Linked DNA regions of Arabidopsis thaliana. The protein of the gene in region 2 purifies or fractionates together with the protein of the main gene of each other region. This does not show direct contact. Each region holds a gene or a part of one and is shown on either strand. Other genes may lie near its edges.

What was found.
Region 1: the proteins of AT2G20420 (region 2) and MSD1 fractionate together in Arabidopsis thaliana (co-fractionation; one large-scale study listed by BioGRID). This does not show direct contact.

Annotation. Positions count from the first base shown.
Region 1 is NC_003074.8:3,416,274-3,420,582, reverse strand, and holds MSD1 (manganese superoxide dismutase 1), read right to left. Parts: upstream 2,644-4,309; 5' UTR 2,569-2,643; coding exon 2,274-2,568; intron 1,796-2,273; coding exon 1,749-1,795; intron 1,669-1,748; coding exon 1,543-1,668; intron 1,432-1,542; coding exon 1,375-1,431; intron 1,256-1,374; coding exon 1,178-1,255; intron 1,095-1,177; coding exon 1,002-1,094; 3' UTR 691-1,001; downstream 1-690. Other genes in the region: AT3G10930 (uncharacterized protein), read left to right, coding at 50-355; AT3G10915 (Reticulon family protein), read left to right, coding at 2,879-2,994, 3,127-3,206, 3,547-3,727, 3,824-3,965, 4,069-4,138. UniProt on the Arabidopsis thaliana protein: Destroys superoxide anion radicals which are normally produced within the cells and which are toxic to biological systems.
Region 2 is NC_003071.7:8,803,355-8,808,858, reverse strand, and holds AT2G20420 (ATP citrate lyase (ACL) family protein), read right to left. Parts: upstream 3,518-5,504; 5' UTR 3,286-3,517; coding exon 3,187-3,285; intron 3,004-3,186; coding exon 2,893-3,003; intron 2,811-2,892; coding exon 2,699-2,810; intron 2,602-2,698; coding exon 2,537-2,601; intron 2,442-2,536; coding exon 2,364-2,441; intron 2,255-2,363; coding exon 2,180-2,254; intron 2,074-2,179; coding exon 1,921-2,073; intron 1,838-1,920; coding exon 1,703-1,837; intron 1,614-1,702; coding exon 1,449-1,613; intron 1,363-1,448; coding exon 1,240-1,362; intron 1,151-1,239; coding exon 1,001-1,150; 3' UTR 688-1,000; downstream 1-687. Other genes in the region: RIC6 (ROP-interactive CRIB motif-containing protein 6), read left to right, coding at 1-192; AT2G20410 (RNA-binding ASCH domain protein), read right to left, coding at 4,665-4,706, 4,800-5,339, 5,434-5,493. UniProt on the Arabidopsis thaliana protein: Succinyl-CoA synthetase functions in the citric acid cycle (TCA), coupling the hydrolysis of succinyl-CoA to the synthesis of ATP and thus represents the only step of substrate-level phosphorylation in the TCA.

The DNA.
Region 1 (4,309 bases), on a different chromosome or scaffold from region 2:
TCTTTTGTTCCTGAAGTTGTCGCCGGAAAGTTCGGGTCCTTGGTGTTGAATGCTCTTCCGAAAGGGAGTCGTCCGGGGTCTGGACCCAGCAAGAAAACTAACGACGTCAAGACTTAGCACTATTCTTTCTAGAGTTTTCTGTCCTAATTCTTACTTCTTTCTTTTTTTGTTCTTTAGAGATTCTTTGATTTTTCGTTTTCAAATAGAGATTATTGTAAATGTTACATGTATTACAGAAATTTACAGTAGAAGTTTAGGAAAAATGAGGATTTTATTTGGTAATGTAAGTCGAAATGATCAAGACTTAGACTATCATCTTGTATCGTTTCATCAATATTTCTTTGATAAACGTTAATCAGCTTTTTAATTTCTATGATTATGTATCAATTTTATTTAGACTAAGAAAGTCTTTTAAGTTAAACGCATAAAAGAGTCAAGGATACCATTTGAATTGACATTGTATTAGTGTTTGGGTAACTTCCAAGAAAGAGATAAAATTAAAAGATAAGAATGGGGCCAAGGCGTAAAGAATCAAAAGTTAGGCGAAATATGTATAAATTGAATTGAACGCGTTTTTTATGAGACTTGACTATGATCCATTTTCCACAACGCAGACACAAAGATAATGCATTTTTATTACACAAGTGTGTATGCATTATTTCACAAATTTCATTAATCCCAAATTTCTTCGTTATAATATTCCTGTCATATATGTGTCGAGTAGTGAAAAACGAGAAAATTAGTTATTGTTTTATTGAAATGAGGTAATTATTATACCAATAAGATTCCGTTTTGTTTTCTTCGTAGAATAAACAATAGCGCTTTCTGACAATAATAGCAAATTTTTATTCTTGAAAACTTTCATTGTAAAACAACGTACCACACAGCTGAGTTGAGCAAATCTTAAAAACCAAAGAGACACTGTAAGTTTGTTTCAGACAACCTTAAAACAAAAGCTGAGCTGGAACTGGTTCATCTCCTTATGTCATCGTGTAAACGATTCAGTTGTTTTCCTTCTCATAAACCTCGCTTGCATATTTCCAGTTGATCACTTTCCATACATTCTTCAGATACTCAGGCCTCACATTTTTGTACTGAATGAGAGAATACAGATTGATTAGAGAGCTTAATCTTTTAAGCTAACTCATGAGACTTAAGGTATCAAAAGTGTTGTTACCTGCAAGTAGTAGGCGTGCTCCCAAACATCTATACCCACCAGAGGTACCAAGCTTCCTCCTTTTGTCACTAATGGATCCTGCACCAACCGAAACAAACTCTTTTTCTTTAAAACCCATTATTCTCACAGATGTTCATGAGTACCAAGAAATCTTTTGAACATATTCAATAGCGCATTCCTGATCATGGATAAGTTACCTGATTGGCAGTTGTGTCAACAACTAGCTTCTTCAGTTCTTTGTCTAGTCCGAGCCACTGAATTAATCAACAGAAACAAGCGAATCAAGGACCATGGTTATTATACGTAAAGCACCAGAGTCGACAATGTGAGCAGATGAAATAAAAAGGTGAAACTAGACTACAGACCACCCATCCTGAGCCTTGCACTGCAGCACCCTCAGCACTCATCTTTTTCACCAGACCTTCAAGGGAGCCAAAGTGAGCGTCAATGGCACTACCAAGAGATCCTTTTGGTGGCTCTCCACCACCTTCCTGTTATACATTAAAACAAACCATCAATTACAGAACAACAAAATCGAAGAAATACACAGAAACTCAAAACACAAGCTCACACTGGAAGGAGCAAGGTTCTTCCAGAAAATCGAATGGTTGACATGACCTGCACGTTAGAAATAAAGTCGATCAATTCCCATTCTCTAGCACACAAAAAACTCAATTTATTTCCAATAGTTTCTCTGCCAATTTCTCTTCTATCAATCCAACCGGTCCGGAGCTCAAGAAGCAACAATCCTAATACCAAACTATAGTCATCAAAATTAATCAACAGCTTCAATGTTCCTAACAAAAGTTCTATACTAAATCAACTGGTTATGATCTCAAGACCCAGCAAACAAAAGTAGCTATCTAAGAAAGCTTGCATTACCGATAAAAGTTTCATTGATTCTTACAGAAGTTTCATCCCAATTCATCAAAATTACTCATCAGCTTCACTGTTCAAACCAAATTTCTCTCCTAAATCAACTACTTCATTTGCTAATATCATCCAAACACGATCTAAACACAAACCAATCGATCAAACACATAGAAATCGAGATCGTAAAAAAAAAAAAAAAAGAGAGTCAGACACACAAACACACCTCCGCCGTTGAATTTGATGGCGCTCTGCAACTTAACAACAGTGGAAGCATCTCCCTTGTTCACAGCTTGATCAAGCTGCTCAAGAGCATTATTGTAATTAGTAACATAAGCCTGGTGATGCTTCTGGTGATGAATCTGCATGATCTCTCCACTAATGGCCGGTTCCAATGCGCCATAATCGTAAGGAAGATCAGGAAGCGTAAAAGTCTGAATCCCTCTGATCCTCAATAGCCTCGATGATGTCTCCTTCAAGCCGGCTAGGGTTTTTCTACTCGCTACACAACGAATCGCCATTGTTGGAATGAAGATTTGTTTCTCCTTCTAGTGGTCGCCAAAAATGAACATGTGTATAAGTGGAGGGTTATGATAATATCACTGCCTGTCATGTATAGAGAAAAGTGACTGTTTTGACACGTAGACATGTGATTTTTATTTATGGGCCGTAATATTGGATTAGTGAGCCCAAGGCCTTAATATAATAAAGCGTAATTTTTAATATTTTGTGACGGCTAAATGTTACTTTTTTGTTTGTTCACAGGAAAAAAATAAAGAAATGAAGAAAGTTGACTAGAAACGGAGAATTTCCAAATGTTGAATTTGTTGGATGCATGTGAAAGCCAATTCTATTTGGTTCCTCCTTGATAATCCACCCAATCGCTGTCATTCTCCCATCAATCTAGCTGCTTTCACAAACCATTGTACTGAGATCGTATCTTTAAGGTAAATTTCAAATCGGAGTCGGCGAGATCGAAATAGGAACCTGGAAGTCGGAGAATTTGTGTAAATTCGGTTTTTTTTTTTTAATTCTCCGATGGATAGTTTAAGTGATATCGATGGTGATTTCGATGGAAGAAATGAAGGAGGATCGTCATCGGATTATCGATTGTTGGGTCGGCAGATTACGGTTCATCAGTTCATGGGTGGTGGCAAAGGCGAGTTCTTTTTTCCAGAATTTGTGTTTTTTCATCATTTTGGTAGTTTGTGATGAGAATTTTCTCGGATTTACAGAACAGAAAATTCAAATTGGGGATGATAGTTGGAATAGTTAGGGTTTCTGATTTTGGTTGGTTGTGAAAATCGTCATGTGTGTAAGTACATTTAGCATTTTGGGTATAGTAGAAAATGGAAAACTTGGCAGGTGAAAGTTAGGTTTAGGTTTGATTTTGAATGAGAAATTGATTGATTCAAATCTCTGGATACGCATGATGAGTTCATAGGTCCAGCAAAAAGCTACTGTTTGTGATTTTTGTATGGCTTTGTTCTTTGATGTAGCTGCTGACTTGCTCTTATGGAGGAGGCGACATCTTTCTTTGGGGGTTATCATTATATCAACTGTAGCCTGGCTTATATTCGAGTTTTCCGGGTTGCCTTTCTTATCTGTTTCTTCGGATGTCTTACTCATCGTGATCATGATATCATTCGTTCATGCCCGGGTTTCTGCTTTTAGGAATAGGTGCGCTCTACTTTTCACTAGTCTTCTTTTTCTTAATTCTTTGCTGTTATGTGACTGATTAGTGATGATTTCTACCTGTTATCTCTTTATAAGCAGACAGTTGCATTCGTTGCCAGAGCTTGTTCTATCAGAGGAAATGGTGAATAGTGCTGCAGCTTCTTTCCGTATAAAACTCAATCACTTGCTTGTAATGGCTCATGATGTCACAGTTGGCAACGATTTTCGACTCTTCTTCAAGGTTATGAAGCTAACCCATTCAGAAACTCACGATGATGTTGAGTGAAATGACATGGGAACCGTTAAGCATCTGAACTGTTGGTCTGACGATTTTTCTTTAGCAGGTGGTGATTTGTCTGTGGCTTCTCTCTGCCATTGGTAGCTATATATCTCTCTGCACTCTTCTTTACATCGGTTAGTAACTTGATCCTTAAATGCAAATGAAAGGAAAAAGCTTCTATGTTTTTTGATCCTTCAGTTTCATCCCCCACGTTGGCTTGTTGATCTCGTTTTAGTTCCTGCGACATTGTTGTTTTAAACTCAGTGAACCAAATTCTTATATGAAGTTTATACTTTTTATGGTGT
Region 2 (5,504 bases):
TCTTGGCCTAGTGGATTACCGGAAATTCCAAAGAAATCTAGGAGGAAGAAGAAGTCGACGAAAGAAACCGCGGTTAATGGAGGGTCATCAAGATCGACAAGAAGATCTGATGTCGATAACATGTCGGAATATATGTCTGAGACTGGTTCTGTGAGATCTATGCCTCAATTCGACAATAGAGATGATTTTTGAAAGGAGAGACGACATATATAGAGACTTTGCTGCTAGCTCCAAATGGCTAATTTTCATTGAACACAACACACCAATTGTTAGATTTTCTTGTTCATTCTTGTACTATTATTAACTATGCAAGGAGAATTTAGACAAATATTTTTCGGTGCTATCATCCAAATCACTTGAACATAGATCATCATTGACGTCGATCATAAATATAAAAGAGCATTCTTACAGAACAAATCAACAGCATCTTTCACTTTACTAGAAACCCTATATATGAATAAAAACTTCTTGGACAAGAGCTGAGTAGTGTTAGTGTGATTTTCCTCTTCATCATAGCCCTCAGCAATAGAGCTGCATCACTACAACAATGGAGCTGCAATCCTGGTCAAAAGTTTTTGTAAATAATCTTCTTTCCTTTTGGTAATATAATTAACATTCTATCAAAAAATAAGTTTATCGTTTTGACCGTTAAATTGGAAACAGAGGACAGCTCTGTTTTGTGAAAGCCTTTTGTAGAGAGAGGGATTAATTTTGTTGTTTCAGTGACAGCTATAGTGTGGCTTCCCACAAAAACGATTTTTATTCATGATAGGAACAGTACGTATGAGATAAACTTGAAACCCTAGTATCAACCATATGAGTTGGTTAAATACAAAAAGATATTGAGAATTCTGATTTGAATCTCTTTGGATGGATCACACAAAAAAAGGAGACCAGTTCATTATTGATCTGTTTGAGGAAATGATATCCGCAAGAAAGTGTAAATTGGGCGTCAACCACAAAACAATTAACAAACCGGCTTTTGGTATATATAGAGAGATTAGTGAGCTAAAGCTTTAACCGCTTTCTCAGCTGCATCATCCAAATCATCAGCTGTTATGAGTTTCATTCCACTTTCCTTGAGGATTCTCTTTCCCTGCTCAACATTCGTTCCTTCTAGACGAACCACCACTGGCACTTTCAATGCGACCTGTCCTCGCCATTCCACACAAACACTCGGATTTATTTTCAATCATGAATATATGAAATATTATGGTAACAAGGTTGTTTCTCACTCACCTCTTTTGCAGCGTTCACGATTCCACTAGCAATCACATCACATTTCATTATCCCACCAAATATGTTCACCAAGATTGCTTTCACTTTATCGTCCGATGTCAGTATCTTAAACGCTTCCACCACCTTATTTTTTGACACAAACCTCTATTAAAATTGGTTTTCATTCCAATGATTCCCAAAAGTGAAGAAAGAAAGAAGGTTCCTTTTACCTGGTGCTCAGAAGCATTTCCACCAACGTCAAGGAAATTGGCGGGTGTTCCACCGTGTAATTTAATGATGTCCATGGTTGCCATGGCCAATCCAGCACCATTCACCATGCAACCAATCTCTCCATCTAAACCGATGTAGTTCAGGTCAACTTTAGCAGCAGCCACCTATGAGACACAACACACTATTCCTTTTAACATCCTATCGAATTAACATAACAATGGCTTTCTTGATGATACAAGAGATAGACAGAGACCTCTCGTGGATCCTCCTGTGTTGGATCACGCATGGCGAAAACCTCTTTTTGTCGGAACGCAGCATTATCATCGAAGTTCAATTTGGCATCAGCAGCTACCAATTGATTAGTTGATGTCTCCGCAAGGGGATTGATCTACAAGAGAAATTTGGAGGTTCAACAAAAGATATTTATAACTGAAGAAGTGTGTAGAAAAAAGACAGTGAGAGAGAACTCACTTCCAACATTGTGCAGTCAGTCTTGCGGAAGAGTTCGTATAGCTTCTTCACTTGTTCAATCGAATCTTTTCTGTCAGCAGCTTTGGGAGCCAGACCATCCACAACCTTAGCAGCATCTTCATCAGTGATTCCTGCAAATACATCAATTGGTACCTACGCAAAACCATGACTTGAGGTGTCAAAAACCCGCATGAGAAAGAATCTCAGAATGATATTTACTGGAGATCAGACCACCAAATACGAATCAAACAGTAACAACCTTGATGATCATGTCAGGGAACTTCTCAGCAAGATCTTCAATACTGGTACCACCCTTTTTACAGGCAATGATCAACTGATATAGGAAAGGAAAGCGTTTTAGATATTACAGCAGGGTATGAAAACAGCATGCCTAGAAGTAGGGAAATGAATAGCAGCAGCTCATCATTTGCGTAGTAGCATACCGGTCCAGCAGATTTACGGTCCAGAATAATGGAAAAGTACATCTCATTGACGAGTGACAATTTCTCACACAAGTAAACCTGCTCAAAATGAAGACACAATGAATAAACAAAGGTGCAAGAGCAGTGACAATAATAGAAGAAAAAACACCAATCATGAATAACAGATAACAAACCTTGCTAACTACTTTGCCTTGAGGACCAGTTTGCTTGGTGACAAGTACTTGTCCTAGCATCTTTCCTACAAGTAATAAAGATTTGAAATAGATCAATAACTTGTACAACAACAACAAAAAACAGACTCCAGAAAGCCACAAACAAGAAATCCTGTACAATACCAGCAATCTCTTCAGCCTCATCACGTTTAACAATGTGAACACCACCCTTAAGACCACTCTTGAATGTTCCAAGACCTCTTCCACCAGCCAAAATCTGGCTCTTAACAACCAACTGTATCACACGAAAATGACACTCTTTCAATTAGACAACAACTAATAATAGAGATTAGAATCGAATCCCTCACTGAATTTACCTCGCTTTCATTAGGGAAAACATCTTGAATAGCCTTTTTAACTTCTTCCAACGAAGAAGCAGCTACTCCTTTCGGCACATTAACTCCATATTTCCCCATCAATTCAGCTCCCTGGTTGTATCAGAATCACAATACAAACTTTACATTATCCTAAACCCAGAGAATTCTATCAACCACAAATCAATCAGTGGATCAACACAGAAACAACAGACAAAGACACAGATCGTACTCGAATTCTGACTTGACAAAAGCGAATCTAGGCAACTATCAAATGGAAATGAAGAGAAGAAGAACCTGATACTCGTGGATGTTGAGACGACGAAGCTGTTGGTTCTGCCATTTCCCGGAGATGGAGAGAGATCTGGACACGAGCTTGTTCACCAATCCCCTCATCGTTGGATTTGTTAGTAGTCGAAAAGTAGCCCAAGAGAAAATGAGAAAATGTAGAAAGAGCAGAGAATAGTCGCAGCTATGAATGATCGAGTCTAACCCTAATTTTTTCCTACTTTATGAATTTTCAATTTAACCCTCTCTATTCTTCTATGTCGCCGGCTCATTTAATTCCAAAATATTTTTGGTAACTCTTGTTAGAAAAAATCTAAGATTTTATTTTCAAAAAGTCTATATATGAAAATACCAAAGTACCATTTTAATTCACTAACAATATAACAATAAAAAAACTAAGCAATACAATTTTTCAATAAAAATGCTAACCCACTAGAGATTGACATCAGATATATCGCCGGATAATTTTTTCCTTTATAAATCTATAATTTTATTGTATATAACATCGACTGATTGTGTATTATTTGTAGTATTATTTTACTTGTATATGACTAAATATTTATATGAATAAATTTTATCCGACTTATCGACAAGACAAATTTTTAGTTACTGTATTTTAGATAATAATTTTCAGTTTATTTGGTTTTTTAATTTCCAGTTATTTAATTTTGAGTCTAATTAAAATAAAAAAATGATCATTTATTGTTTTCTCAATACATTTGATATTATTTACTTTCTGAAAAAATGAGGATACTTACAAAAGTTTCAATTATTTATTATGTACTTATGATATTACTGTTATCATCACCAAAATGAGCTAAGCCAAAAGCTTTAGTATTACTGTAAGGAATCTTCCACCGGTACGGTTGAGTAAGTTGAGTAAACCGGGATTACTCAAAAAGAAAAAAATTGTTGTCATTGGAACATAAGCCCCGTTCAGTTAGTCCGATGAGGACCAAGTGAATAACTGTCGTGAATCGAACGGCCATGATGTCATCGACGGAGAGACAACAGAAGCTCCACACACGCGTCTCAGCTTATAGAATCTCTCCACCGCATGATTCTCTCGTTACCGAGGCCGCATCTCTGCGAAAAGTGGCCCGGGGACTTTCCTGGGTCGGAACTTAGACAAGCCCATGTGACCCATTCACTTTGTCCAATGACTATTGTTACTTGTTTTCGTTTTCGACTAAATATATACACAACTGATATTTTGAAACTACCGATGTGGGACAAACCCCCCAAAAATATAAACATTCTTCTAAATCTGACCAAAATATAGTAATTTAGTAAAATTCGACTAAACAGTCTACTCAAAACTCATTGCTCTGTGTATTTATTAGTCCACATGATTATTCTCTCATATAAGTTAAATTGAATGTGTATACAATAAACCTATAAACTAACTCTAAAACGAACTTCTCAAACTTTGAAATGAACATGTTTTAGAAAGAATGCAAAATATGGTACAACCTTGACGCATTAGATCAAGAAGGTGGCTTCAAGTTCCTAATTGCAGCGGCCATGATCTGAAATAATTCCACATGTGAAATAAAATCAGACAACAACAAAGTCAACAATTATTGTTGTAATTATCGCTTAATGTAAGATAATAAACGTACCCGGGCAGATCCAGGATCAAACCTTCTTTCACCAATTCTTGTATTCCTGTCCTCACTCTTTGTGACTGCACTTCTTTGACTAGATTCAACTTTGCTGCTGCTGTTGCTGCTTTCACTACATACTTCTTCACCCATCTGTGTGCCTCTGTTCTTGCTTCTTGTTCTATAAGTACGGTCAGACGTTCCACCAGAACCAAGAACCGGGTTATCTAGGGATTCTGCTGCTTCATCTTCAATAACTTTGCTCTTGCTTCTTGTTGTGTAATCAAATATATTATTTGTTTGGAGACTTTGTCCCTTCTTAGAAAATTGTGTCGCCGCTGCTTTTGCACCGGCGATTGCAGCTGTGAGGCTGGTAACTTGCTTGATTGCAGCTGTGAGGCTGGTAACTTGCTTTGAATCAAGTTCTTTCTTCTCTTGCATTGTACAAGGAATAGAACCAGGTTTTAAGGAAAACGGGTCTTTTGGGTCAGGAAGAGGGAATTTCACCTTAAAAGAGTTTTGAGAAGGCATAAGACCTCTAGCTGCTGCTACATAAATCTGTTTCATTTAGAAATACAGTAAGTAACTGGTACTAATTTATACTACAACAAGAACCCACCAATCCCTAGGCTTTGAAGAACAGCAAGATTACCTTATTCTCTAAGTTATAGACGCCCTGGTACCCACGCATCTCAAATGGAATAATCAGTTTCTGGAAGAGTT